Cricetulus griseus: one gene and its partner. Each later gene encodes a partner of the first gene's protein in a complex. Links are inferred from orthologs where the notes say so. Each region holds a gene or a part of one and is shown in the gene's direction. Other genes may lie near its edges.

Region 1 (15,837 bases):
CTGACATTTGAACCTAAAGGTACTTGAACTTGGGTCAGCATCTCCACTACCTTCCTTATCTCTCTGCTGATTTCATTCTGCCTTCAGTCTCTCTACTCCCAAGTTAAACATCATGCTTGTTTCTTAAGGTCACTGTTTTATTTAGTCTTATCCTTCCACATTTTCTCCACTTATTTACTTATTTTTAATGATTATTTTGTGTGTGAGAGTGTTTTGCCTGAGTGTGTATGTATATGTACTATGCCATGCCTGGTGGTTGGAGCAGACCAGATGAGGGTGTTAGATTCCCTGGAACTGGAGTTTACAGGAGGTTGTGAGCTACCATGCGGATGCTGAGAAACAGCATGCTCTTGACCACGGAGATATCTCTCCCGCCCCCGATTCCTTCTTTCTTTGTTCATTCTGCTTTCTATCTTGTGCCTCCTTCTGGGATTCTCCATTCTCCTTCACAAGTTTCCTTCATGTTTATCACTGCTTGGTAAACGCAGCTTTATCCTGGTAAAGCGGGCTCCCACGGTATCTGGAGATGATATACAGAGTGATCTCCAGAGGCCTTCGGGAAGGACAGCTATCATGGCCTGTGGTGCACTGACCCCTTAGGTCCAGTATGACAGTGAAAACAACCTGTCCTCTGCTTGTCCCTACACATCTCTGAACCACACTCTGCTCAGTGGCAGTGAGCGTGTAGTCTGTGACCCAATAGTACAGGCCCAGCACCCATTGAGGTTTGCCTGTGCATGTGTGTGGAGGCCCGAGGTTGACATCAGGTATTTTCTTTAATCGCCTGGAATTGATGATTCAGATAGGATCCATCTGTCTTTGCCTCCCTAGCACTGGGATTACAGGCACAGGCCATACCTAGCTTTTCTAAGTGGGTTCTGATGAACTTGGTTTTCATGCCTCTAGCGCAAACACTTTACCAGCTAAGCCATGCCTCTGGCCCCTACCTGAAGACATTCTTAGCTTTAGCAGTTGGTAGAGGTCAGGGTCTGCTGAGTCAGTCCATCCCAAAAGATTCACTGGATAGTGAGTCACAAGGTGCTAGGTCAGATTCAGAGCTTGGAAGTGAATGGGAGTGAGAGATGGCTCAAGAGAATGCAAGTCAGAGATGCTCAAGAGCATCTCACTCTCAGTCTGCAGCGTTCTATCTCTAGTCACTAGGCCTGCAGGATCCCATTACTGACATGGCTTTGTCAGAGAACTTTAGTTTATGACCTACCAAAAATAAGTCCCGTACCCCCCCACCCCACCCCATCCCCCACCCCCCCCCCCACCCTCCATCCCGCGCACACACAAAGGTTAAGTTAGTTTATTGATGCATTCTATTAGAACCCACCATGTCCAGAGTAACACCTCGTGGGCTCATTTTGGGGTCCCATGGCTTCCATGCTGGACATCATGGGTGTGGGGTGAGTCACGGGTGTTGAGTATCTACTGCTTTCAGGAAACAACTGTGTCCCAGCCGAAGAGCACCGTACGAGGGAAAGGATCCTGGCTATGTTCCTGTTCTGGCTGATGGACACATACGTGGTAGAGCTGCTTAGGTCATTCTTTTACGTCACAGAGACCACATTCCAGAAGAACCGGCTCTTCTTCTACCGCAAGAGGGTATGGAGAAGACTGCAGAACATTGGAGTCAGGTACCACACATCTCTGTTGTCGGTGCTTGCTGTTTACGTATACTGACTTCAACAGTGCTTGGCACCTGCTAGCCTGTCCATGGGCCTTCAGGACATAGACTCCATGTAGTCATGGACTGGAGATCCTGCTTTCTGACCTGTAAAATCTTAAGTTGGGCCTACACCATCTATAGGCTCAATAACGTAGGAGGAATTCGCACCAAACAGGAGTAGAGTAGCTGCTTGTTTGGTACATGGGTCAGATGGGTTCTACCTTATGTCCTGAAGGAAGTACAATATGAGGAGCCTCCTCAGTGGGAAACCACAAGATTCCACCCCAAGAGCTGGCGGAGGCGCTGAGTGGCTGAGGTTCTTTGCTTGTTGAGCTGGGATTTACTGTACCAGTGGAAAGTACATAGACCAAGTTGAGGAGGCAGAATAGATGCCAGGCAAGGCCTGCAGAGATCAGACTGCCATGTTAACCAAGGTTGCCCTGGCTGTCTTGAAACTAGCTCTGTAGACAAAGCTGGCCTTGAACTCAGAGGTTCTCCTGCCTCTGCCTCCTGAGCACTGGGATTAAAGGTGTGTGCCATCGCCACCCGGCTCCATGTTTCATGAAGTCCAACCCTCATTATGTGTTACATATCACCCACTGTGCTTGTGGGATCCTTAGCAGCCAACACAGGACTTCCTATGTACTTTGGCACACATGAACCTGAGGTGGGCAGGGATGCTTTTTGCTTTCACACCTGTGTCTAAGCCAGGTTATCCACAGAGTGCAGCAGATTGCTTCAAAAGTGCCCTGGCCAATGGGATCACCCCAGAAGGGAACACGAGGGCAGACTACGGGATCAGATGTCCCAAGTGCAAACACAGGCTTTATGTCATGTATCCTGCCCAGACAGTTGTGTGGGTTGCCTGGTTGTCGAGAGTTGCTATGGTCCTGGATGTAGTCCCATAGCTTGGCCAGTTGTCAAATGACCCAAGTTCCTAACCACCCTGATGGGATGTGTCTCTCGAATTTCCCACATGCTCATGTCGTAACTCCACAATGCTCTCTGTAACAGGCAACACCTTGAGAGAGTGCAGCTGCAGGAACTGTCACAAGAGGAGGTCAGGCAGCACCAGGAGGCCTGGCCAGCCATGCCCATCTGCAGACTGCGTTTCATCCCCAAGCCCAGTGGTCTTCGGCCCATTGTGAACATGAGTTATAGCATGGGCGCCAGAGCCTTTAATAAAGGGAAGCAGGTGATTGCACTTGGCTCCTGTACTGCCGCTTGAGCCTGCTCTCTGGTTACACAAGGGCTCATGAAGTTCTGAGCCCTGGGCAGACAGAACAGGAAGGACGAGGAACTGGTTGTTCCCAAGTCCAAAACTTCAGCGTGTGAAAAGGCCCTACAGATGGGAGATGGTCTCAAGAGCCAAAGGGCTTGGGACACAAACCTTGGAGATACCTCAGGGATCCTGACAGGTAGGGTAGATACTTTATGGCCTCCATGATAGGGGCCAAAGTAACCAAGAGGGCAGCTGCCTCCCTTCACCATAGCTGGATGTCCACAACATCTTACCCCTCCCGGTGCCAATGTAAGGTGTGTGGGGTGACTTGTCATTAGTAATGCCCAGAACACAAAGTGAAGCTATTGATGCCTCAGCCCAGCTGGGGGACATTTGTGAGTGAAGTTGATCCTGAACCTGACCCCAGCCCAGTGGACATGTCTCATTAGACGGCAGTGCCCTTGGTGGTAGGTGAGAACAGGTTGGAGCAGGTTGGGTGAGTGCCCCAAATGCAGTCAAGTGACTTAGTGGGATAGGTCTTCTAAGACTCTGAGATATCAGGGTAGTCTGGGACAGTCTGTCAGGTTCGTTTCTAATGTGTCTTTTGTGGCCCTGGCCCAGGCTCAGCATTTCACCCAGTGTCTCAAGACTCTGTTCAGCGTGCTCAACTATGAACGGACAAAACATACTAACCTTCTGGGGGCTTCTGTACTGGGCCTGAATGATGTCTACAGGACCTGGCGGGCCTTTGTACTGCATGTACGCACTCTGAACCCGGCACCCAGGATGTACTTTGTTAAGGTGATCATTTGGACTCCCGCCATCACATTTGCTCCCATGGTCTTGACTCAAGGGACCTCCTTGGAGCAGCCAACACTGGGTGACCCTATTGTAGGTGGTGGTTGAGAGTGCTGGCCCCTGCTACCATATATAGGCCAAAGTTACCGTGGCCTCCTGTTCTCTCTGGAGCAGGGGGACCCCATACTTCTGGGATAGCCTTGTGTGGATTCCCTGGACAGTGCGCTCCAATTCCTCTGGGATCTACCCTATAGGAGAATCCCGTTGGATGCTGGGTCCTACTAGCCATGATTGACTCTGTCTACCACTAGGGCCTGCATGCTTCAGTATCTGTGTTAGGCAGGGGCCCTTGCAGGCTGTGAGGCTCTGCAAGGAGAATGTAGGTTTTCCTTGACCTAAGGGTCTCAATCTGGGATATTGGGCTGGAGAGAGGAATGTAGACCCACTATGCCCCAGGGTCCTTTGTCTGGAATGGGAAATTTGTGGGATAGGCACATGTGGCTAGGCTAGTACAGGAGCATGGAGTTTCTTTCTCCTGTCTGTCTATCTCCTACTGGTTTGCTTAAGGGCAGGTTGGAACCCAGACACCAAGGACAGAGCCAGCAGGACCCCTGGGCCTAGGCCCAACCATGCTTAGTGTTCACATGTGTTCCACAGGCAGATGTGACCGGGGCATATGATGCCATCCCGCAGGAGAAGCTTGTGGAGGTTGTTGCCAATATGATCAGACACCCGGAGAACACATACTGTATCCGCCAATATGCAGTGATCCAAAGAGATAGAGAAGGCCAAATCCACAGGTCCTTCAGGAGACAGGTGAGGCTATGGTGGACTTTTCATCTGTGCTGTGAGCATGCTGGTGGCACAGGGCTTTTCATGTCGTGAATATCTGGACTCTTTCAGTGACACAGGTAAGGCTGTGATAGGTCCACATTTCTGGCATGTCCATACAAGGACATGTCTGTGGCTTGGGTATCCATGGTGCCAGTGATCATTTGTCAGACCCCAGCGTGCCTCCCTCTACAGGACTCCCAATGGAGATCCCCCCAATATCCTCTTCAGTAGGTAGGTGGGGTCTGTGGGTTCAAAGGCAGAGGAATTTAGGCCTGGGAGAGGCGCAAGGTGACTTCCTTTCCCTATATATAGGACATACAAGACTCACAGGCAAGCTTTAACTATACATGCATGATATGTGCAGTGGCCATGTGGCTTCTGCACCAAGGATCACTACACCCAGGCGATTCCTTCCCTACTCTGGTCAGAGCAGCTACCATTGTGCCTCTGTAGAGGCTAGATGACAGCATGTGTGAGTTATTTTCTCCATCCACTACATGGGTCTGGGGATTGCACTTAAGTCCTTAGGTTTGGTGGTAGGTGTCTTTACTTGCTTAGCCATTACACCAATCCCAAGGAAACACCTGAAGTTATACATTTCTCTGCAAGACCCCTCAGTAGTCCCGTACACATGCTGGCTTTTGTCAGTTCATTATCACTCAGTTCAAAACCTTCTCTATTTATTTATTTATTGCAGTTTTTGATATACTCTTTAGTGATTTAGAAGCATGTTACTTCATTATTTTGAAAATGCAGGCATTTTCTATTTATATTGCTATTTTTTTCTTTATTAATAAATTTTTATTTAAATTAAAAACAATCTTATTTTACATACCAATCCCGGTTCCCTCTCCCTCCCCCCACCAACTCCTCATCCCACCCCCACCCACTCCCCAGGGATGGTGAGGCCTCCCATGGGGGTTCATTAGAGTCTGTAACATCATTTGGGGCAGGACCTAGGCCCCCCTACCCCACCCCCCCGGTGTATCTAGGCTGAGAGAATATCCCTCCATAAGGAATGGGTTCCCAAAGTCCATTTGTGCACTAGGGATAAATACTGGTTCCACTGCCAGCTGCCTCATAGACAGCCCAGACCTCCGAACTGACACCCACATTCAGGGGATCTGGTTCAGTCCTATGCTGGTTCCCCAGCTGTCAGACTGGGGTCTGTGAGCTCCCTCTTGCTCAGGTCATATTGCTATTCTTTTCTAGGTTAATTCTTGTACTTTAATTTCTCTGGGTGACTTTACTCCTAGTACTATAGCAAACCAACTTGGCACATGGGTTTTTGGGGTTTTTTTGTGCTACTACTATATGTTAATTGTACATAATAATGGGTTTTGTTATGACATCTTTATGCACAAGTATAATGCATTTTGACCATATTCATACACGCAGCCTAACATGGGAAATTATAAGGTTCAAAGCCAGTGTGCAGTCTCCACATATGAGAGCATGAAACAGAAGTATTGCAAGTTTGAGGACAGCCAGCATTACTCAGAGACCCCAGTGTTCACACGTCTGGACGTCTTACACCTAGCATGCTAGGAATTGTTCCTGTGCTGTCAGTAGATGGTGCTGTATTCCTTCTGGTGACATCGTGTCTAGAGACATGGATCTTGGTGGCCACTGGATAAAAAGCAGGCATCCTAAAGAGTCTGTTGCAGGAGATGAAGGAGCCATCCCCTCCCTAATCCTGTCAGCTCTTCCTCCTGACTGCCGCTGTCTCTGTGGAGAAGTTGGGATGCTACTTGTGTTGTGACCATCGGTAACCACAGCATTATGGGGGTGTCTGACCCAAGGAGAGCTGACTGTGGTGCAACCTGCTGTTTCTGTGGCTCTTCCTGCTAGGGTGCTAGATTCTCCCTTTTCCTGTTAAGACTCTAGGATGGAGTGGTCCCACACTGTTCTATTGTTGAACTGTGCTGTGGCAGTCCTGGCCAGAAAACCATGTGCCCCTCTGGTTCCCCTCAAGTGTTTACCTCTTCTGTGCTGCAGGTCTCCACCCTCTCTGACCTCCAGCCACACATGGGCCAGTTCGTGAGGCATCTTCAGGACTCAGATACCAGTGCGCTGAGGAACTCCGTTGTCATTGAGCAGGTCCTTGGGCTCCCCATTAATCGGCCGCACCTGGTGGGGCCTTCCTCCTCTACTTGGCTATTTGCTTCAGTGTAGGAATGTGACCAAGGTATTCCTTGGTGGAGAGTTCCCATGACCAAGGCCACTCTTTCCTGGTGGCAGTCCCCATCCCTATGACATGACCTAGACTCCCCAATAGCTACTAAGGTGGGCATGCTCTGAAGTGCCCTTTATACCCTCGTCCCCCATACTCCACTGATCTACTAGTGAACTGGTAAAAATATCTTCTCCCTCAGTTTTGACCTTGAGACCATAGTTTTATTTTAGTGGGCAAATTGGACTTGATCTGTGGTCCCCATCTTGGCCCATTCAGTTTACCTATGCCACACCTAGGAGATCTCCTCCCACAAATCAGTGGTTCTACAGAACTTCCTTTGTACATATCCTGACTTTGGGGCAGCCATGCTCACTGAGACCTTTGGATGGTTTTCCTTTAGCTCAGTGGGGTGCTGTGTGAGCTCCAAGTTCCCCAACCTAGTGCTGTAGAAATATAATAGGTTACATTGCCACTTTGTAAGTTACATACCCTGTCACCTTGAGTCAATTTCTTCCTGGCCATGCAGGGACACTTGACCCTGGCCCCACCCCTACTTTACCATGAACATTTTGGTCTTACAGGGTCATCTGGTGGCAGAGTTCTGCATCCTCCCACTCATCTGTCCACATGTGTCTGCTTTTCTAGAGCTTATCTCTGAGTGAGGCCAGCAGCAGCCTGTTTGACTTCTTCCTGCACTTTGTGCATAACAGTGTTGTGAAGATCGGTGGCAGGTAGGCACAGGCGTAGGGCAAGTGGGCAGAGGCTGGGCAGGTACAGATAGAGACCATCCTGACTGCTGAGCAGGGTGCTTGCTAACTGGCTACAGCACTTAGAAGCCTATCTGACTGGCTCCCTCTGCCTCATTGCTTCCTCCCCACTCCCCTTCATAGAATTTTCTTGCCCTTCTGCTGACTGGGCCACGGGGCTGCCTACCCATGAGGCCCTGGGAGTTCCTGACTAAGCATGGTCCTAATGAAGTTAATAATTTTGTATGCCTCGAGTTCCTGTTGTTACTTTGACAAAGTGGCAGGGGCACCTCACCTGTTTAGCCAGGCATGAGACACATGTAGACACATGAGACACATCAACAAAGAGAGTGCAGTGCCTATGGCTGAGTCCCCCAGAGACTCCCATGAGTTATAAGCCAGAGCAGGTACCCTTTGAAAAGCACTGCTGTAGTGAAGGGAACCCAGACTGGCTCAGTGCTAGAGCTGTCTAACAGCCCATCAGCCTGCAAAGACCTACTTTGTATGTCTGGATCAGATGTGAGGTTGAATATTTGAGCATTTGGTTGCATCTTCTGTACCCAAAGTCCCCACTTAGAGAATGGAATGCACTTGGCACCTTTTTGCTGGACTGATAGGAGCCTACACAATGAGTGCCAATACAGAACAGAATTCCAGGCTCACACCCAGGATTATTAGAGATGAGGGCAGGCAGGACAAGAAATATCTGACTATCAAAAGTCACAGTATGTGTTGGGCTGTAATTGGAAATGTTTGATATGCATGCTGGGAAACCACAAGCTACAAGCATGCAACTGGGTGTTTTTTTCACAAACACCACAAAGGGTGCTCCTGAGTCCTGATAATACTGAGCACAGATTTGTGAGTCTGTGTCCATGTGGTAGATAACTTAGTCCTAGTGTGGGTCAGCCAGATACACTGAGAAGTCAGGTCTGTGTACACCATGCCTGGAGAGCTTCCTAACAGATACTCTAGCCAAGGGGACTGAGTCTGTGCAAGGGGTCAGCTCATACCTACTCTTTCTCACACACGGGTTCCCTGGGTAAGTTCCCTGCCTGACCATCTGAAGGTACCCACCCCTGCCGGCACCCACCCCTGCTGGCACCCACCCATGTATGTTTGATTGAAGGGTGCCATTAGGTTCTCTGTGAAGAAGGCACTGACAATTTTACATGGCTATGACCCAGAATGTCCTTCCACTAATAATCTGTTACTAATTGTCCCAGATAAATATTCAGTTCAAGAGCCTGATTGCTTATCATTAATGTTTAAAATCTAAAAATTTTAAATAAAAAAAAAACAACCTGGAGTCAGTGAATGGGGATGTAGCCCCCCACCACCCCAGGTTGTAGTAAGAGTTGGGAATGGGAGAGATAAGGGTGGTACTGAGTTTGGAGTCTTTTTGGGTCTTGGCAACTGACAGTAGTAGATATTACTGTTTGTTTACGTGGTCTTTGAGCATGTTTACAAAATGGTGTATGTCTGTGTACATATTTATACATGGGGGGTTGTCAAATGTGAGTGTGAAGCCCACCATGGCTGCTGCTTCTGACCTTAACCACCACTGCCATCCCCAGGTGCTATGTCCAGTGCCAGGGCATCCCCCAGGGCTCCAGCCTGTCCACCCTGCTCTGCAGTCTGTGTTTCGGAGACATGGAGAACAAGCTGTTTGCTGAGGTGCAGAAGGATGGGTAAATTGCTTGTTTTTACTGCTCCAAGGGCCTGGGTCATGAGTTGCCATATCTTCACACTTGGAGTTCCCAGCTCACTGAGTGGGTGTGACAGTTGCTTTATGTCCGAGATGTAAAGGTCATCCATTGCCTTCACTTCGTGCAAAGCTGCAAAGTGCACCAGAGCTATGTCTGTTAGGAAGACAGTAAAGCTGTCGTTTATCTTCTTTTGAAATACCACTTTGTTTTGTCTTTGTGCATTGTGACACCTAAAATGTTTCAGGTTGGATCCCCTACAGGTGGATTCTGTGTGAAACCTGTCAACATGTCTCATTTTAGGCTGCTTTTGCGTTTTGTTGATGACTTTCTGTTGGTGACACCTCACCTGGTCCAGGCGGAAGCCTTCCTCAGGTAAGGACTGCTATGCCTGGGTTTCTGCCGTATGATCATGATGTATGTGCAGCTGAGGCAGCACATTTAATCGGTTTATAATTTTGTGTTCCTGGAGCTCGTGTTGTCACCAAGACCTAGTGGCACCTCTACCAAGTGGCAGGGTCACCTCACCTGTGCAGCCAGACATGGGTACCTCCAGCACCAAGGAAGAGAGTATGGCACCCATGGCTGGTCCGACATGGTCTCTCCGAGGATGCAGTGCGGTCAGAGACCGGGTCATTTCCAGTATTTGGAAAGTCTTCAGATGAGACAACAGGCAGTAACTCCTATGCCTCCCAGCCAAGCCCACAGAAGGGCTGTTTGCAGAGGCCTAAGGCACTTAGCCCTTCTAGAAGATGTGAGCATAGCTGTCTTAATTAGAGTTTTTTGGGGGGGCGGGAGTTTGGGTTTTTCGAAACAGGGTTTCTCTGTGGCTTTGGAGGCTGTCCTGAACTAGCTCTTGTAGACCAGGCTGGTCTCAAAATCACAGAGATCCTCCTGCCTCTGTTAATTAGACTTTCTATTGCTCTGAAGAGACACTGTGACAACAGCAACCCTTACAAAGGAAAGCACTTAATTGAGGCTAGCTTACAGTTTCAGAGGGTTAGTCCATTGTCATCACTGTGAAAAGCATGGCACTGTGCAGGCAGACATGGTGCTGGAGAGGTAGCAGAGAGTTCTACATCTTGATCTGCCAGCAACAGGAAGGACTGTGTGCCACACTAGGTGTAGCTTGCGAATATGAAACCCCAAATTCTGGCTCTAGTGACATGCTTCCTCCAACAAGGCCACACCTCGTAATAGTGCTACTCCCTATGGGCCAAGCATTCAAACACATAAGTCTATGGGGCCATACCTATTCAAACCATTCCTGATAACTTTGAGACTTCACACCACACCATGAAGAACAGGCACTGGGTGAACAGGCCCATGGCTCTGTAGAGTAACTTTTCTTTATGGATTGTTAGGAAGAGACCAGAGAATTTGTACTTACTAAACATTGGTGTTTTGAGACATGGCTGTTGTATTAGGAGTGGTCATTTTTCTTACATTAATATTCATACTAGTGAGTTATAGTATGTATCCCAGGCTGTTTGTAGTATATAGAGGTGAGGTCAGGGTTATTGCATATCTGGGTGTAAAGTTAATTTTTGTGGTTCAAGCTAGAATTGAGCACTGCAGCCCTGCTTCAGAGCAGGACCATCAAGTGAGGTTCCTTGGGCACCACAGAGTTTGAGGGTTCCTTCAGATCATGTATTATAGAGGAAGCCCCCTCAGGCGCTGTGAAGTTTGTAGACCTCCTTTTAGGGTAATTGACAAGAGGAAAAACCTGAATGTGATTAATTAAGCCGAGCCCTCAGAAGTTGTCACCACTGAGGTATTGGTGTTTCTGGAAACACTAAATGCTGTCCAGTTTCAAATTTGCCCAACAGGGCTCTTTTGGGCATAGTGTCCTCGAGCCCAGTAGGTTGTGCATGTCAAGGTAGGTAGAATGAGGTGAGAACAGCCCCAGTGTGTCCCTGTCACATCTGTATCAATCAGAAGCTACATGGCCCATACATAGACAGTGGCCACTGGGGACAGAGGACAGACACTGCTGCTGTTGAGGAAAGTTCCAGAAGTCAGTTTTGTCCCTAAGACCTTGTCAGGGAAGTGGCTCTGGATCAATGTCAGATCACCAGGTGATGGGGCCACTAGGTGGGGGCTGTCCATGGACACCTGTAGGAAATATTTACTACAAGGAGCTGGCCAGGGCAGCTGCAAGGACTGACTAGTCACAGGCAGGTGGATGGCATCAGGTGTTCCCACCCATGGGACAGGAGCTAGACTACTGCCAGACTGCCAGTGTGAGTTCACTCTGAGGAAGGGTACACATTTACTTTCAACTCACTGGGGAGGTCTTCAACTCACAGGCAAGCAGTCAGTTTAGCATTTGCTGGGAGGGGAAGCAATCCACATCTACAGGCATCTCAACGTATAAGAAAACAGACTTTTTGGGTGAGGGGGAGAGGGTCCCTTGCTACATGGATGTTAAGGTATAACCATCAGATGGTTATGTGAACCTTCCTACTTGTTTGACTCCTGGCCATCTTGTTCTGAGCTGGCCCTATTGCTTACACAGAAGAGCAGCCCCAGGCTACAGTCTGGACCAAGACTGCCTGGTATTCCATCAGGGTTACCCACAAGGACCCACTCTCTCTGATCCCAGAACATCTCTGGGTATCTTTGTGACATGTGCTGAGTGTGCTTCCAGGGTTCCATAACCAATGTTTCCTCTCTTACTCAGGGCCCTCGTCCATGGCATTCCTGAGTACGGCTGCATGATAAACTTGCAGAAGACAGTGGTAAACTTCCCTGTGGACCCTGGTGCCCTGGATGGTACAGCTCCACACCAGTTGCCTGCTCACTGCCTGTTTCCCTGGTGTGGCTTACTGCTGGACACTCAGACTCTGGAGGTGTTTTGTGACTACACTGGGTAAGTACATCTGGCTGAGTTGAGGACCCATGAGCTCCTGGGGGCAGAAGATGCAATGGGATGCTCCATTCTTTTTCCTGTTGAGGAACCATGAGCTCCGGGGGGCAACTCACCCCGGAGGTCTTTGACTCATAGGCAAGTAATCGGTTTAGCATTTGCTGGTAGGGGAACCAATCCACATCCATGGTTCCCCTATTGAGGAACCATGAGCTCCTGCTGTGTGGTGTTCCATCCTGTTTCCTACTTTTGGACACAAGTAACCATGAGGCTTGAAGTGATAGAGGCCCAGAGATAGACATGTGGGCAATACGAGAACATCTTCAGCCTCGTCCCAAGTCTCCTAGAGACCATGGAGCTAGGACCCTTCTCTGTATTGAGGTATAAAGGGGGTGTGTGTAGGGGGGGAGTTGGTCTCCAGTTACCACAAGCTCACAGCCCAGCTTTAGTGTAGATAAGACAGATTTGAGATGGACGGAGGTGAAAATATCTGGACCATTTCTTTTATGAGTAGAAGCATGAAAATTGTGGTAGGAAACTGAACCTGTCGTCATGTTGATAGCTATCTGTTCTGAGCTGGGATCCAAACTCTCCTGTCTCCATAGTGCTCTTTGGAAGTTCACACTATAAGGGAAGAGGTGGGTGCAGATAAGCTATCTCTGTGCTGCCTTATCTGCTGCCATTTCTGTCCTCACAGGCCTGGGCTCCTCAGCCTTCCTGTCTTTGTATGCTAACTTGGGCCAGTCCCTGGGATTCAACTCAGATTTAGTTTGGCTTCACCCTCTGCCCCTAGACCCACTTTTGCCACCCCAGCCTCAGTGCTCAGCACTCCAGTTGCTCCTAAACTATTAACTTGCTTAATCCATTCCCCATGAGGGGCCTGAGCTTTTTTAGAGGATAAAGTCCCTGGCTCAATCCCCTTACACTCTTTAGTGTCATTGAGTAGTAGGTAAAGCAATCAAAAAAAAAAAAAAAAAAGCATTTCCCTTCTGAACATACAGCTAAAGCCAGATAATAGCACAACCTTATGAGAAGCCAGGCTGACTGGACAGGGGGAATTGGAGAACACTCTGACACATAGACCAGGAAGGTCCCTGCTTCCAGAGTCAGAGCAGCTGTGAGCTCATTTATCCACTGAGGCTGCAGAATGGGTATGCTCAGCTGAGCCAAGGATCCCCCTGTCTGAGCCAGGGACAATGCGTCTAGAGGTCAGCCAGAGTGACTAGCAACATCCTAAAGGGAAAGTATATTGGTAGGAGTTTCTTCTCCCCAAAGCATAGTTCACATGCAAAGTGTGAAGAGAACTGGCAGAGCACTGCAGTGTAGATAACAGTGTCTCCCAGAATTGTGCAGTCGAGCTTTAGGACCTGTGGGGAATCGGTGCAGGACCCCCGTGAATAGCAGTATATCGGCTTAAACCCTCACAAAATGCTTAGTGTGTGTGTAGGCTCTGTACATATGTAGTCACATATGCTTCGAGTCGCTCAGGCGAGGGCGGCATCTCCAAAAAGTGACACTCGCTGGTACTATGGTACCAGAACACTCATTTATTTTTCCTAGTGATTCCACATCTTCCTGTCCATCCTGGAAAAAAAAAAATCAGAGACTACCAAAAGCCTTACTGTTTTACAGTACTGAGGCTGGTTTGTCTTGCCCTTTGACATAAGCGGTGGCACAGAAGATGCTACAGAGCACAAGCAGCCTTATTCTGCTGTAGACACCACGTTTTCAAACAGTGCTAAATGGTAGGAACCCTATTTCAACATCAAAGTGTTCAAAAGCACATGTAGGAGGTATGGGGAGGTGACTTGGGTTAAGAGTGCTTGCTGTGCAAGAATTGAGGACCTGAGTTCAAAACTCCACCTACATGAAAAGCCAGGGTGGTCACAGGCACCTGTGTCCCCAACACTGTAGGCAGAGATGGAGAAAAGTTGGCCATAGGGGCTTGCTGGCTGCCGGCCTAGCTCCAGGTTCAGTGAGACATCTTGTTTCAGGGGAGTAATGTGCAGTGTGAAAGAGCAGGACACGCCTTCCTCTGGCCACCATCCACAAGCACAGGCATGCTCTCAAACATGCATAAAAATATAAATAAATAAATAAATAAATAAATAAATAAATAAATAAATAAATAAATAAATAAATCTTTTAAAGAAACTTAACAGAGGTAACTGTGCCTGTCACCTGTATTCATCTTTGAGGATGATGCAGAGTGTGACAAGAAGGTACCACCCCTTACCTTCTGCCCTGCACATGTCCCGTTCTTGGAATTTCATTTCCGAAGCATCCTACAGTCAGCAGGTGGTTTGATACCATTGTAGGCATTTCCTTACTGTGTGCTGCCACCCAGATCTGGCTGGAGGTAATTTTCTGCTCCGTTCACAGCCCTGTGCTGGGAAGGCGCTCTGCCAGGTTCCAGCCACTTAAAGAGTGATTTCCTGTATGATTTCCTTCTGTGATTTTCTGAACTGTGAGTTTTGACGGCCCTTTTTTTGCCACTGATGAGCAAAGATGTCTGGTGATCCCAAGCCTGGACAAAACGGATGTTGTTCACTACATCTGTTTGGGTTTGGTTGTCCAGGTCTCTGGGTGGTGTTGTGAGCATATACCAAGAGCTGGGTGGGATGTGTTCCATGTGTGAAGGTCCATCCCCATCTAAGCCCTCAGTGTATGGCAGAGAGGGACAGGAAGTGGAAGGGCGTTGGTGCTGGTCTCTCAGAGGAGGGGTTGGTGTGGGAATCACACAGATAGGATACCTTTGTGCTGCAGTTACGCCCGGACCTCAATTAAGGCCAGCCTCACCTTCCAGCGCATCTTCAAGGCTGGGAAGAACATGCGACACAAGCTCCTAGCTGTTTTGCGGTTGAAGTGTCACAGTCTGTTTCTAGACTTGCAGGTAAGCCATGGGCAGCCACCTCATCTGTTGTGCAGGTCCTGTTCTTTGTGTGGGGGCATGTGCATGGGTAGGTGATATGGGTGCAACTGTGTGCGAAGAGCATGTAGACATCTGCATTTGTACTGAGGATCCCTGAGCACCCAGCCTGCTCATCACTTTCCAATGCCATCATCAGTCCCCACAGAGAGAGAGGCCCCCTGGATCCTGGCCTTGACCTTGGGCTTTCAGCCCATTGCTGCTGAGTTCTCTGTCTAGGAGGGGCCACTGTGGTAGGCTTTGGCCTCTGCTCCCTCCTGCTTCTTCCCCTCTTGATGACACTGGGGGCCTGGCTGGATTTCCTGGATTTCCCACACAAGTGACTTTCTTATCCCATCTGACAACACAGAAAATGTTCATTTTTGATCCAAGGAATGTTGCTGATGGTTCTCTTTCTGTTGGGACTCCAGATGAACAGCCTTCAGACAGTCTGCATCAATGTGTACAAGATCTTTCTGCTTCAGGCCTACAGGTGAGTCATGGACTGTGCCACCACTAGAGGGAGGCACAGGCCACAGTGCCTGCCATGCTGCTGGGGCCTCCAAGCCTAAGGCAGAGCTGGCTAGTTGCTCCCCTAACTGGGTGGCATGCTGAAGTGGGTTTAGGAAAAAGCAGCATTCAGTTTTTGTCACACAGCTCCATATTTGTCAGATGAGAACCTCTTTTGCTCTCTCTGCACTGGGAGCACATGCGACCTAATGTGCTGACCAGAGCCTGTAGCCAGATGTCTTGAGACAGGAGAGGGAACTGGGGTAAAGACCCCCCCAGGAAAGCGCCTCAGAAGGCATAGGATGGGAAAGGGTAGCAGGGGGATTCAGAGCCTCAGAAAGCAGAGAATCAGATCCATTGCTGATAGCAATCTTGCACTCCAAAAGGCATGACCAA
Region 2 (15,083 bases), on another chromosome or scaffold:
GGCAGAGGCAGGCAGATCTCTGTGAGTTCGAGGCCAGACTGGTCTCCAGAGCGAGTACCAGGATAGGCTCCAAAGCTACACAGAGAAACCCTGTCTCAAGAAAACAAACAAACAAAAAAAAAAAAATAGTGTGTGTGTGTGAGAGAGAGAGAGAGAGAGACAGAGACAGAGAGACAGAGAGAGAGGAGAGAGATGTGAACCTCAGAGGACAGATTTTGAGAGCCACTTCTCTCCTTCCTTCATGTGGGTCCTTGAGGATCAAACTGAGGCTGTTAGGCTTGGTGGTGGGCACCTTTACCTGCTGACAGCCCGCCCCTGACACTGACACACACATACCTACACCTGCCTGTCTCTGCTGCCACTCGACCGCTCCCCCACCCCTGCAGGGTGAATTAGGGTGCATCAAACTCACTTCTCTGCCATCTCGTAAAAGATCATCCGGTCAAAGTTGCTGGTACGCTCCCACTCCTGTAGAGCCCTCGGCAGTCCCTCCTCCAGGGTCATAGTAGGCTTCAGTCGGGCCAGGGAACGAAGCACTGGGCTAAAACCCCCATTAGGTCAGACACATTGTACAAGTGTGCCCTGCACCTGTTCTGTGCCCACCTCAGACCACATCCTTCCTTCACCAACTCTAGCATGCACCTCAGGCCCTGCCTTGTTTCATTTTAATTAGATGTCCAGATTCCACAGCCTCCCCTCCAGTTGTCTGCCATTCTTGCGGCCCTTCCCATCTAGATGCTCAAATCACATAAAATCAAATGATTTTCCTCTTGACCTTCTGAAATCAACCAGGGCACCCATCTTTAACTCTCTCGGTGCTAACCTTAACTGGACAGTAAGAAGAAAACACTGGGGTTTGCAAATGAGCACTATGAACTGTAAAGTGGATTTAACCCTGCCCAAGGCCTCTTGAATTGTCAAAGACTTATTTCACTAACCCAGCATGAGCCTCTAATTAAAACATGTGCAGTCATTTGGGGGTTTGGGTTTGCAGACTGGGTTTTTTCTTTATTTCCAGAATGTCATCATAGGTCTTCAAATTGAATATTAGACCATTACTTCTGGACGGCTCTAGAGGAAATCAAGAGTGCAGACTAAAGTAAGGACTTCATTTTCACCTCTCTAGCTTCTTTAAGTCCTCAAACATTACTGAGTATGAGAGCCACCTGGCAAAGCTTGCCATAACTACGGATTATTGAGCCCCAGGATCCCAGGACTAAGTATCTAATCAGCTTCCCATGGGGGTGGCTGTTTAGGGTCTGAAGCATGCCTAGCATAAGATCCTACCCACCACACTGAAGCATGAGGAGCAGGAGTTGTCCTGAAACCAAAGGGGATGGGTCCTAAGCAAATCTCAAGAACTCATGCTAGTTCTACATTTAGAAACTATCCACCAGGTCCCAGGAGAGAACTCAGCGCTATCTCAAGAAACCAAGACTCAGGAAAGTGGTGTTTATTGAGGACTTTGGGAGTGGTCCTTTGATCACTTGCTCCAAAGTCCAGATGAAGGAGTTCTTCCACTGGAAGGGAACTTTCTCTCTCTCTCTCTCTCTCTCTCTCTCTCTCTCTCTCTCTCTCTCTTTCTCTCTGCCTGGTAAAACAGTGTTTACTCAATGGTCTGCAGTTGAGAGATACTCAGTCTGCTTGGGAAGTTGAGAAAATCTCCCAGATGACTAAAGACTGATGTTTAAACAAAAAAGGACCGTCTGTAACTCCAGGCTTCTTGGCTAAACATACTTACACTCAAAAGGAGGGTTATTTTGGCCTTTTGTGGGCTCCCTTCCTCTTTAAGATTGCCTTTTTTATAGTAATAATAAAAGAGTTACTATTTAAGTGATTCATATTCTGTGTCAGGAACTTTGCCAAGCACCTTTAATCTGATCAACCCTCAGAGATAGGGTTGATTACCCCCTTTTCTGATGAGGAAACTGAGGGCAAAGGTGTTAAATGTCCTCTCCTGATCCAAATCTACTACGCTTGGAGCCAGCTGTGCTCCATCCTCTCCCCTGTTTCACCTGACTCCTGAGTAAGACAGGGTTCACATATGCTAAGGTCTTAGTCTGGCCCAGTGCCATCTGCCCTATCCCATAGGAATGAGTCAGGGCTTGGCCCACCTCATCCCAGCTCAGCAGTGTCAGAGGGCGGGAGGGCCCTGGCATTTGGTGTCAGGGACCTACAGGACAATCTCTCTTCCAGCTTTATGACAGGAAGTCTCTCCATCTGCTCGTCTGTAAATGAAGACTACCATAAAATGCTTGTCTGACTTCACAAAGTTGTAGGTATTCTTTGAAAAGTACCTGAACGTTTCTTCTAAGCCAGGAAGAATGTAGTAGTGTTTTTAGTTCTCTTACCAGTGTCTTCTCACTCTCATAACTGCCTTCAAGAATTCTGGAGTAACCCAACCCAACCCAACCCAACCCAACCCAACCCCAGTGCCTATCCCAGAGTCCTCTCTAAAAGCCCTAGGAACATCCATCTTGGGTACCCACCCCCACTTACATAAGAAAGCAGGAAAGAGCTTCTGCATCAGGACTCTGGGATAGGTGAGTCCGGGCCAAGACTTTGTAGCGCTGCCAGCGACGATAGTTCTCATAAACACCCTTGGAAGCATAGGCAAGGTCACCTTGAGAGGGCTTCCGGGCAGCCACTGGACCTCCTTCCATGTTTGCAGCTTGTGTTCCTGGCCAAGACTTTTCCAGGGGCACAATGGGAGCCAGTTGGGCAGTTGGTGGTAGAGCCTGCACAGAAAGTCCCGCAGGGCCCTCCTGGCTCACTCCCACAGCCACAGCAGGCAGAGTGGACTTCATACTAGAGGTTGTCACATATGGAGGAGGCAGCCCCTCCTGGCCCCCACCAGGAGCCCCTGAGGTAATCCAGTTCAGGGCTGTCTGAGTAACTATAAGGTTCTGACTTTGAGAGGGCTCAGCTGGCCCCACTTCTGTCTTGACTTTAACAATGACCTGGCCAGTTCCAGCCACACTGGGGCCAGAGCCTCCTTCTCCTGTCACCAACAATGGGCTGGGAAAAGCAGAAAGGAGCAGAGGACTGCCTGGAGAGAATGCAGGAGGTATGGGGGGCTGTGGTGATGGCTCCCAGAGGGGTGGGTCTGGTGGCACAGGAGTAGGTGGGGCAAAGGGAAGCCCAGTGAAAGGGGGCAGGCCAGCACCAGGTTTCATGGCCATATCTGGTCCTGGTAACGGAGAGGCTGTTGAGACAAAGAAAAGAAGGGAGTAGGAAGGAGACCAGAAGTTAGGCCACATGACTTCCTTTTAGTTCCTATGGGATCAGAGCAATGACTCTTAATGCATGAAGGAGAGGACATGGATGGGTGGATTTGTAAATGTCTCCCAAGGAGTCCTTTACCCCTGAGTTACCAGGCTAAAGAAGTTGCTCCCTTTCAACGAGACACATAGACCTGCGTCTTCCAGGAAGAACAAGCTCAAGCTGCCACTGCCTCTGAGAGCTTTTTTCAAAATACTCGTGGAGGCCTCCCCTGCCAGCTCCACAGTGTCAAATAGGACTGACACCTGTTGTGCAAGCAGGCTGGGTGCTGGGAAAGTTCCAGACCCCCCAAAAGCATTCATGGGGTCCTTGGGGAGGCTGTTTCACAAACACTGGTCCATCCTCTTCCTCCCTTCCCTATTCCTCTTACTCCTAATAATCTCATCTCAAACAACAGAAGATGCAGTTTACGGATAGGCGCAATGACTCCAGAACTCACAAGGCTCATTTCTCCAAAAAATCATTCCACCAGCATACATGGACATCTACTAATCCTGCCCACTCCCATGAGATAGAAACCACCTGCTCCCAGCTGCTCTGTGTCCCCTGTCAACATTCACAGAAGTACAGTCCCCAGGACAGGGTATGGCAGCCTGAATTCTTTCTTCCCAGAAACTTCATTATGTAACAGCTAGGAATAGCTGGAAGGATTAGATAAGGACCAGGAAATGATGGGGATGGGCATGGAGGGAGGGAGATTTCCAGTGCCTTCAGGAACTACTGGACAAGTTGAAATTTGGCAGTACAGGTGGTCCTGCTTCTTAATGTTAGAAGTTTAGGGCTCATGAAGAATATAGCATTGAGCTGAAACTAAGGAAGAATGAAATCTAGAACACAGTTCCTGCTGGGACGAGCTATGTGGATGCTGGTCAGGCAGATCAGGGGATAAGCACACAAATGTGTACTTCATTAAACAGGGCCTGTATCCACATGATATCCACAGGGACATCCACATGATTTTTAATGATAAAAACAGAAGCCAATCGGCCTAATTTCATGCTGTTCTTCTCCCTATTTTAAAAAAGAGTATTTCACCAACAAACCAGCACTACTCAGATTCCTGACCACAAAGGAGACATGAAATAGGAACAAACTTATGTTCACACTCATCTAAGTCACACAACAGAAGGTTGGGTTATAACTGCCAATTTCTGCACATTGTGAAATGCTGCTAAGGTCTTAGCTCCACAATAGGTAATAAAACCAAACATCTCACTATGGCTAACATGACCTATCTTCTCCATTCTGAAAGTCAAGAAAGACTGCTCCCCACCCCATGGCTGGGTAGTGGTGGTGTGCGCCTTTAATCCCAGCACTTTCGAGGCAGAGACAGGTGGATCTCAGTGATTTCAAGGCCAGCCTGGTCTACAAAAGTGAATTTAGGACAGCCAGGACTGTTACACAGAGAAACCCTGTCTCAAAACACAAAACAAAACAAAAAGAACAGACAAATGGAAGGAAGGAAGGAAGGAAGGAAGGAAGGCAGGAAGGGAGGGAGGGAGGGAGGGAGGGGAGGGAGGGAGGGAGGGAGGGAGGGAGGGAGGGAGGCTACCCCTAACAAAAAACATACTTAAAAATAAGTACAGGTTTATTAATACAACCACTCTGGAGGATGAGGCAGGAAGAGCACAAGTTCAAAGGCAGCCTGGGTTACAGGAGTTCAAGGGCAGCCTGAGCAACTTAGTGAGACCTCACCTCAAACTAAAAAGTACAATAAGGGGCTGCAGATTTGGCTCATAGAATGCTTGTCTAGCATGTGCAAGGCCCTGGATTCAATTTCCATAAACAAAAATTTTACACACACACACATGCATGAGCTCACACATGTGCCCAGAAATGGTCTATGGGGCACGAAAAGTACCCTCCCCAGAACACTAATTAGATGGAACCTTGAGCTTAGAATTCCCAACTTCTAGATATATCCTTAATACATTACTATGAAAGAAAAAAAGAAAGAAAGAAAAGCCTGCTGCCTGGACTGAAAAGAAGCCACCTCTGGCTGGTAGAGGCCTTCAGATCTGAGGCCAATCAGTTTTATAAAATCTCTAGCCCCATTCACTGGCTCTTAAATGAATAGCCCCCTGAAAGACTTTTAGCTCTCCAAGTAAGCCGACTGTCCCCCTGACCCAAATTCCCACTTCTCCATCCATCAGCCTCCTTTCCCTCGAAAGATCAAAAGACTCAGCTTGGCCTTCTCATGGCAAAGTCCCAGAGCAGGCACTAGTTGCCAGTAGACACAGATCTTGAGTCTTCCCTGAAACCCTGACTACGTTGCCCATACTGCACATAAACCCATGCATGTTAAAGTACAACCTCTTCCTGGGAATCAATTTGGTAATTGCTGTCCATTACCTATACTCAGTGTGTTACACCTGAGGCACTTTGGTTTGTTTCCAAGGAGGCTTCCTCCATTCTTAATGGTAAAAATCTACTTCCCTATGCTCCCTAATGCCTGTGTGGGGTCTAATGTCTCACATCCCTTTAGGTTAGCCTAAATAATTTGTTCCTAGATAAAGGGACAAATCTGACACTCCAGGGATTTGATCAGGTGGAAGATACCCTCCATTCTCCACCACCCCCAGTCTTACTTCTGTCTGAAGCCATCATCTGAGATTTAGGTACACCAACAGTGGCTGTGGGGAAGCCTCCAGAATGAAACAGTTGGGTCCAGGAACCAGGCAGTAACCTAGCTCTAACAGAGGATCTCCAAGGAAGGTAGGGTAAAGACTGGGTAAAAACAGAATTAGAATCTTGGACACAGGCATTCTGTAGTGGGGGAGGGGAGAGGGTATTTCATGGTGAGAATGATGAGGTATTACACAGTGGGTTCTGGTAGGTAAGCAAAAAGTAAAAAATCCTGTGCTGGAGCGATGGCTCGGGGGTTAAGAGCACTGGCTGCTCTTCCAGAGGTCCTGAGTTCATTTCCCAGCAACAACATGGTGGCTCACAATTATGAGATCTGGTACCCTCTTTTGGTGTGCAGATATACATGGAAGCAGAATGTTGTATACATAATAAATAAATAAAATCCTTTAAAAAAAATAGAAAATCCCTCTAAGTTCATTTGATAGCATGATTGTTGGGTGTCTTTTTTCTTTTGGGGGGGATGTCTTTCCCCCCTCCCCCCCGACAATTTGTACATTGTTTCTCAGATTCTCAATATTATACTGTAGTTTTTGCTTTTGGTTTCTTATTCTTCTAATCTTCAACAACATATCTAATCCTCTGCCCTTCGGTTCCTCTAGTTCTGTAACTGGCTTACTATTAATAACAAATTAGTGGTGGGCCTTTGGCTTGTTACAACAATAACTCTATTTTCTGAGCCAAATTCAGAGCACACAGTTTGTATAGTTGAGGATGGAGAAAACAAAATGTTTGAAATGGAAGTATTTCAGATGATCTAGGGTGTCCAACTGCTGTGGTGTGAAAAACTGCCACCTACTTGTAGTCCTAGGACTAAGGAGGCTAAGGCAGGAGTTTGAGAAAAGCTTGAACTACAAGTGGAACTATCTATCTGAAGAAATAATTCTCTCTGCAATCCCCACACAGTCCAGTCCCAGCAGCTCTGCAGTTCATGGAAGCCACAGCCTTTTCCATTTGCTAAAAAAACTTAATAAATTTTAAAAAATTATATATATATTAGTTTCAAGAGGTGTAAGCCATGTAGCCCTAGCTGGCTAGTAACTCTACAGAGATCTGCCTGCCTCTAGCTTCTGTGTACTGGGATTAAACTGTGTACTGTGTACCTTTTTTTAAAAAGGCATAATCTTTAATAATTTTTGAGGGGTTTATGCAGTTTTATTGAATATGAATATTTGTCTGAATGTAGGACTGTGCAACTGGGTAAATGCCTGGTGCCCCCAGAAGCCAGATGAGGGAGTCAAAGCTTCTGGAACTGGAGCATTGCAGCCAGTTGTGAGTTGTCATATGGGTGCTGGGAACCGAACCTGGATCCTCTGCAAGAGCATCAGGCATTCTTAACCACTGAACCATTTCTCCGGTCCCTTTTTCATTTTTTGAGACAAGAATCTGTCTATGTAGCCTAGGCTCAAACCTAAGACTGTCTTGCCTTAGCCTCTTGAGTGCATAAATTAGAGTCCTTGGTCACAACCGGTGCCTTAAAATTACCATAAAGTCTTTCACTAAATTACTTTTTGAAGTTATTAAATTAATTACATTAAATTAATAGATTAGCATAGCTGAAAAGTCAAACTAAGAAAAGTTTGAAGAGAAAAAAAGGAGATAAAAGGGTATGGGAGGATGAAAACGACTAAAATTCGGTGTGTGTGTGTGTCTGTGTGTGTTAAACGGTAGACAACAACAAAAACCACACAAAACAAACAAAAAACCCAGGGCATGCAAAATAAAATACGCAGCAGCAAGCATTCTTTCCATCCATTTCCCTGTAACCAAATCCTCCTCCAAGCCAGAAGATGCCGATATTAACTGTTTCTAGTACATTCCCGCCCCTCGCAAAATCTCGTGCATGTGTACACGTGTACACGTGTACACACACACACACACACACACACACACACACACACACACACACCACACACACACACACACACACATACACACACACACACACACACACACACCGTTTGGCTTTTTGTTTCTCAGTTTAAAGCAGGGTCTTACTGCTCGAATACTGCTCAGGTCGGCCTTGAACCTACTGGTTGCTAGAGATCCTTCCGCCTCAGCCTCCGGACTTCTGGGGTTACAAGCCGGTGTTAAACTCCCTAGTTTTTTTTAATATATCTTATGAGACGACAAGTAAACCAACTATATTCATTACTAAAAAAAAAAAAGAAAAAAAGAGAAAAAAAACTAAAGTTTTTCTGGCTATAAATTTAATATGTTACAATATTTTTGCCACTATGAATAGTGCTACAATGGTCATTTTGCAATATCTTGGTTTTAATTTTAATTTTTCTAAACTAGACTCTTATAAGACTTTTTATCTTTGAAAAACTGGAAATACTCCAAGAAAGTTACCTTACTGTGATATTATTCGCTACTCACCATGTAAGAAAGAGATGAATTTGTGGTCAGGTCCTGAGTTTGAATCTTGGTGCAGCCTCTAAAACAAAATTCACCAGTTTCATAAGAAAACCTTTACGTTCTTTTCGCTTTGCATAATATCGAATACCCATCATGCACTCTTTACCGCCAACACTTTGAAATGGGGCGGGGAACCGGATGTAAAAGTGGGGGTCTGAAAAAAATCTTACATCTTCCCTAGGATATAGGAGGTTGAGTATCCTGGAACCCTTGTTTCTCCAGGAACTACAAAACTAATGCCTCTGAAATGGGTGAGCAATTTGAGAGTAAAGACAGGACTGGATGCATCAACATTTAACCCACACCCATCCCTACCTCCCAACGTCTGGGAGTCCCTGGCACACAGTGGGCAATTCCATGGCTCTTTGCAAGGCAACTTTGCAAGGTTGTAGCTAGTTGGGAAGACCAAGGCCAAGTTCTGCTCCACTGTGCCCCCTTCTGGTCAACTGGATATGACTGGAGAAATGGACTACATTTCCCGGCATGCCTTGTACCGACTTCCGGTCAGATGGGAAGGATGTTGGCGAACACGGTTGAGGCGGTGTATTCCAGGCAAACGCGCCTGGCTGCGGAAGAGTGAGGATCTTCGTGCTGAGTTGCAGTCATGTTTCTCCAGTATTACCTCAACGAGCAGGGCGATCGCGTCTATACGTTGAAGGTAAGGGGAGAAAACAGCTGTAAGTCGGGAGGACAAGAAATTTAGGTGGGAGGAACAGTTGGAACCGGCCGCCGGCCAGCGCAGCCGGGTGCTTGGAGCCACGTCCGGGCCGAAACGTGGTAGATGCCGGCATTGCACGACTTCTTGTTCTGACCGCCGCGTCTCCTGGCTTCAGCTTTCCCATTTTCTTGTTGTCCCCTTGCTAGCACACCACTCATGTATTGAGATCATTTTCTTTTTTTCCTCGAGCAGAAATTTGACCCTATGGGACAACAGACTTGCTCTGCCCATCCTGCTCGGTTCTCCCCTGACGACAAATACTCAAGACACCGAATCACCATCAAGAGACGCTTCAAGGTGCTCATGACCCAGCAACCGCGTCCTGTTCTCTGAGGGTTCGTTAATTTTCATGTGCTGCCCTACCCCAGGCCGATTATCAATAACCAAAGGCGTCAGTCCGTGAGCAGTGAAGCCTTCCCATGCTGTTTGGAATCCTATCTTACTACGTGACTGAGTCTGTCGTGATGGGCATCGCCTGTAAAAGGAACAGTCTTAACTTTTTTTTTTTTTTTATGCTTTGAATTACTGCCAGGTTATTAAAGAGACAATGTCTTGAAAGTTCATTTTGTGTGTGATTGGAGGGAAAGATGGGGGAGTGTAGTGCCGTTGCTAGTACAAGGCCACTTGAGAACAATGGTAAGCCCTCACTTTTGAAGTAGCAATGCGCCATGAGTGTTAGGGTGTTGGGGAAGAAAGGCTGAGAAAGACTCCTACAAAGGTCAGCGTTCACTGAAAATATACTCCAGTCCCTGGAGTAAATTGTGGCCCCTTTAAATAACATTCCGAATTCCTCAAAGAATAATAAAGGCATAAAGACTTAATTGGCAGTTACGAAACTGGTACTGTTACCCCCTCTTTAAGGAGTAAAGGCACTCAACTTGTTTAGTCCTCGTTTTTGTTTTTGTTTTTTTCCTCAATTTTAAGAGTGGGAAGGAGCCTGGCGGTGGTGGCGACGCCTTTAATCCCAGCACTCAGGAGGCAGAGAGGCAGGCAGAACTCTTGAGTTCAAGGCCAGCCTGGTCTACAAATCGAGTGCCAGGCCAGGCTGCAAAGCCACAGAGAAACCCGGTCTCGAAAAAACCCCCCCAAAAAAAAAAAAGAAAAAGAAAAGTGTGTGTGTGTGTGTGTGTGTGTGTGTGTGTGTGTGTGTGTGTGTGTGGAGGTGAATCTTCTTAGTAATTATACAGTTGTTTGTTCAGCTGTCATAAGTGGGAATGTCTTTGACCAAACTTGCTGTCCTGGAAATCTATCCACACTTTTTTCTCTCTAGTCAGCTTACATATAATAACCCTACATCTGTTACATCTGTATTTTCTTTGGCAGCCAGCAGCTATGTGTAATGCCCCACATATCTTAATTTTGAAGAGGTATGAGAAATTAATGAAAGGATTTTTGTTGTTTTCCAGTCTAGAGTTGTAAAGTGTGTGTATAAATAAATATATACATACATACATGAAATGGAAGCTTAAGGACTTTATCTGTAGCTCTGGCTATTCTGGAACTCTCTGTAGATCAGGCTGCCCTCTGCCTGGCAAGTGCTGGGAGTAAAGGTGTGCACCACCACCGCCCAGCTCATAAATAGCTTTGAACTCAGAGAGATCTGCCTGCCTCTGCCTCCCAAGTGCTGGTGGGATTAAAGATGTGAACCACCACGCCCAGCAACCTAAGTGATTTTTTGTTTGTTTGTTTGTTTTTGCAAGACAAGCTTTTCTCTGTGTAGCTTGGGCTGTCCTGGAACTCTTTAGACCAGGCTGGCCTCCATCCTTCTGCCTCTGCCTCCTAAGGACTGGGATCAAAGACATGTGCCCACCATGCTTGGCTAACCTAAGTGATTTTTAGTTAAATTATTCCATATTAAAATAACGGTGAAGTAAAATACTGTATTCAGGCATTCAAGAAATGCTAGTTGGCTTCTTCCTTTCCTTGTCAAGTTAACCAGTTATCAGTCTCATTCCTGGATTGTGACATTGGATCTGAATGTATGTTTACTGCCACTAATTTTTTTTAAGAAGTATTTGTTCTTCTTTTATATGTGTGTTTTGCCTGCATGTATGTGTGTGTGTCATGTTTGTTTCTGGTACCCATAGAGACAGAGGGCATTGAATCCCCTGAGTCTGGAATTAGGGATGGTTGTCAGTGGTCATGTGGGTGCTGAGAACAGAATCTGGATCCTCTGCTGAGCAATCTCTCCAGCCTCAGTGCCACTAATTTTAAACTTCATAGAGACTGTGTTCTGCAATCTTGCTGAATACTCATAGAGGTAGAAAAGTTCAGTGTTCCTCTTGACTGTTGGTGTTGAAAGAAAAAAAGAAAAATCATTTGATATATCTACCTTAACAGAAGACAGGTAACTTTCAATTAAGTAGTAGATCTGCTAAATTCAAATAGTTATATGTTTGTTTCTTTTTCCTTTCTAGTAATTTTATTTCTTAGCCCATTCATGAACACAGTTTTTAGTGTTGTATGTGAGAAATTTTTTTTTTTTTTTCTCAAGACAGGGTTTCTCTGTGTAGCTTTGGAGCCTATCCTGGCACTCGCTCTGTAGACCAGGCTGGCCTCGAACTCACAGAGATCCGACTGCCTCTACCTCCCTAGTGCTGGGATTAAAGGCGAGCGCCACCAACGCCCGGCGTATGTGAGAAATTTTAAAGAATGAATCATATCCTACTAAGGATATAGAAATGTTAAAAACTCTGCAAACCATGGGTCTCTTGAGTTCGTGACTAGTCTGGTCTACAAAGTGAGTTCCAGGACAGCCAAGGCTACACTGGGAAACCCTGTCTCAAAAAACCAAAAGAACAAACAAGAAACTCTGCACATAATTGGAAAAATGTACAACTGGAATTTTCTGGGTTTTGGGGGGGTTTATTGTATTTGTTTGTTTTGGTTTCTGAGACAGTCTCTTTATTCTGAGTGAGTCTCAAAATTGCTTTGTGGTTCAGGATGACTGGAAACTTTTAGTTCTCCACTGTTGTTGCCTTCATGTATGCATTCACCTTGTGCATGCCTGGTACCTTCTGAGGATAGAAGACAGAGTTGGATCCCCTAGAACTGGAGTTATGGATAGTTTTGAGCCACCATGTAGGTGCTGGAACTCGAACCTGGGTCCTCAGCAAGAGCATCAAGTGCTCCAAATTTGCTGTTTAGATTTTTAAAAATGTATGTTTATGGGTATTTTACCTCCGTGTCTATGCATATGTGTGCTAATACCCACCGAGGCCAGAAGAAGGTGTCAGATCCCCTGGGACTAGATCTAGACAATTAATTATAGCCTTTATGTGGCTGCTGGAGATAGAACTCTGGTCCTCTGGAAGAGCACCCCTGTCTCCAGTCCCCACCACTATATTTTGAGTTGTGGGATAACAGGTGTGCATTACCACCCTGGTTTATGGTGAGGATCGAACCTAGGATTTGTATGCTAGGTGAGCACTCTACCAACCCTGGAAGTTTTTTCTTTTCTTTCCTTCCCCTCTCTTTCTGTTTTGGTTCTTTATGTAGCACTGGCCACTCTGGATTGCACTATGTAAACCAGGCTGGCCTTAAACTCACAGATCTACCAGCCTCTACCTTCTGAGCACTGTATTACTGGCTGTCCCACCACACCCAGTCCCTGGACGTTTTCTAACTACCAACTCAGTGAAATCTGTCTGGTAGGAGGTGTGTCTTCTTTGTTTTTTCAGTATTGAATATAATTCTGTCCTTACAAAAACAAATAAAAGATTAGCATTCTGTGCCACCAGCAGTGCAGATCAAAATAAAAGACTAACCTGGAAATAGTAGTAGTCGATATGGAGGAGAAAAGGAAACTCATGAATCTAGCAAGGACTGAAAAGATCGCCTGGATAGTAACATCTGAGACATACCTTTAGTGAGCTTGATTATCAGTTAGTGTTTGCAGAAAGGAAGAAGAGCGGCAAGAGTGAGCTAGGTGGTAGATATAAGTAGATGCAAAAATTGTGCAGAAACGCCAGTGTGTCTTTTTTTTTTTCCTCATTAATGGAAGTTTAAGCCTGGCTTTCGATTTTCAAGGGAACGGGAACAAGAGGCAGGAAAGTAGCTACACTGAAGATGAAGATTTACAGGCATTTAAAAAGAGACATCTGAAATTTTACACTGACGCCCGGCGCCAGCATGTCTTTATAAAGTCTGATATTTGAATGAACTGCAAGCCTGCCTTAGAAAGTAGATCCCCCGGGGATGGCTCCAGGGCTTCTGATACATTCATACAGACATAAGCAGGCAAAACACCAATGAACATACATTTAGAAAGAAAGTAGCTGGGTGGTGGTGGCTCATGCCTTTAATCCTAGCACTCGGGAGATCTCTATGAGTTTGAGGTCAGCCTGGTCTACAAGAGCTAGTTCCAGGACAGCCTACAAAGCCACAGAGAAACCCTGTCTCAAAAAACATATAATATATATCTCCTTTATATGTGAGTAAGTGCACCGCTTCCATGCCTTGTCTTCAGCAGTTGGATCCCCTAGAACTGAGGTTACATGCAGTTATGAGCCAAATCATGTGAGAACTGGGAACCGAACCAGCAGGGTCTTCTCTAACCATAAGCTGATTTAACTCTTTGCAAGTAAGAGGAACCAAGGATCCGGGCAAGACTCCAGCTAGTTTCCACATTTTGATCAAACCTATAAGAAGTTTTCAAACGAAAGATTATGGAACTGAAATTTATTAAACATCATGATGCACTAAACACTAAACATATCTAGTTGACAGTTTAAAGTAGGTCAAACACTGGAAATGGAGTAGAACAGATACCTCAATGCCTTCTCAATGTCTATATAGTTCTCTTTAATGGAAGTTTAAGCCTGGCTTGGGATTTTCATGGGAACAGGAACAAGAGGCAGGAAAGTAGCTACACTGAAGATGAAGATTTACAGGCATTTCAGAAGAGACATCTGAAATTTTACACTGAGCATCTCATCTAGGATAAATAGATGTGGTAATGGGAGGTTTGGGTGCCATAAAGGTAAGGTTTCCAGAGAGACTCTAATTAAAGATGACCCCTGCGGTCCCGGGGTAAATGGGCATTGACTGCCCCTGAGCTGCATCCAGAGTCCACGCAGCACAGGTGACACGAGAAAATGCATCCCGCCACACACGTTCAGACCCGGAGGCGGACTGCAGTTCCCGTCGTGCTCCACGTGAGAGCCGCCGGCCCGCGCAGGCGCGCCGCACGCTCGCTGTCTCGGCTCTGCAGACTCCGGGCGGGGCTGCTGGTGCCCGCGGGACGGCGCCGCCCTCCAGCTGCTCCCCAGACTTCTCAGGACGGTTAACCTCGAATGAGGAACGAGCGGGGCGGGAAGGGGAGGGCTGCGGCGGCGCGGGTACTGCCCGCCGCGCCCGGGGCGGGGGGCGGCGAGGTCACGTAACGGCCTCGGGCGTCTGCCGGGGAGGGGGCCTCCTGCGCGCCGCGGCTCCGAAACAGTTAGCGGCTAGTAAACAACAGCTGCGCGCGCACCCGCATCAGCTGGCGCGGGATCCCGCACCTGCGACCTCCTCCTTAAACCTAGCCGAGACCAGCCTGCGTGGCCGTCTTCTCGGCTGAGACCCAAGGAGAGCCGGCAAGAGGCCACCCGCGTCGGCCCGGGGGAAAACGCGTCCTGTCACACGCGGCACAAACACGGCGAGAGTCGTGGGCTCGAGAGACTCGCGACGACCTGCCACGACCCGGAGCTGCCCTGATCCGCTAGTCGCCGCCTCCAGCTCCTCGGTCAGGAAGAGATCTCGAGGAGGCAGGAATCCACTCTGCCCCGGCATCCTCTCGTTGCTCTCCTTTCTCTCCATCCTGTAGTGTGGGGGTATTTTTTTCCCGTTATGCATGTGCACCTCTCCCACCAGACCCAAGTGGATTGTCGACCTCAAAAACATCGGGTGGTTCAGCACACACCTCCTCCCAGCCAGACCTGTGGGGTATTCACCTGATACACAACAGGTGGCCGGTGCACACCTTTTCGCAATCTGATCCACGCTATAGTCGCCTGATAAGGGTGGGCCTGCATGCTGT

Evidence for each region.
Region 2: Tert (region 1) and Nop10 share a complex: the UniProt entries of both Homo sapiens proteins name them as parts of the telomerase holoenzyme complex. The link is inferred for Cricetulus griseus from reciprocal best matches to the Homo sapiens genes TERT and NOP10.

What each region holds. Positions count from the first base shown.
Region 1 is NC_048595.1:368,305,814-368,321,650, forward strand, and holds part of Tert (telomerase reverse transcriptase), read left to right. Parts: intron 1-1,444; coding exon 1,445-1,640; intron 1,641-2,686; coding exon 2,687-2,867; intron 2,868-3,515; coding exon 3,516-3,695; intron 3,696-4,349; coding exon 4,350-4,508; intron 4,509-6,524; coding exon 6,525-6,626; intron 6,627-7,347; coding exon 7,348-7,433; intron 7,434-9,025; coding exon 9,026-9,139; intron 9,140-9,457; coding exon 9,458-9,529; intron 9,530-11,837; coding exon 11,838-12,026; intron 12,027-13,655; exon of another isoform or gene 13,656-13,768; intron 13,769-14,405; coding exon of another isoform or gene 14,406-14,454; exon of another isoform or gene 14,455-14,490; intron 14,491-14,789; coding exon 14,790-14,916; intron 14,917-15,301; exon of another isoform or gene 15,302-15,362; coding exon 15,363-15,424; intron 15,425-15,837. UniProt on the Homo sapiens protein: Telomerase is a ribonucleoprotein enzyme essential for the replication of chromosome termini in most eukaryotes. Active in progenitor and cancer cells. Inactive, or very low activity, in normal somatic cells.
Region 2 is NC_048599.1:66,079,392-66,094,474, reverse strand, and holds Nop10 (H/ACA ribonucleoprotein complex subunit 3), read left to right. Parts: upstream 1-8,862; 5' UTR 8,863-8,950; coding exon 8,951-9,004; intron 9,005-9,256; coding exon 9,257-9,397; 3' UTR 9,398-9,627; downstream 9,628-15,083. UniProt on the Homo sapiens protein: Required for ribosome biogenesis and telomere maintenance. Part of the H/ACA small nucleolar ribonucleoprotein (H/ACA snoRNP) complex, which catalyzes pseudouridylation of rRNA.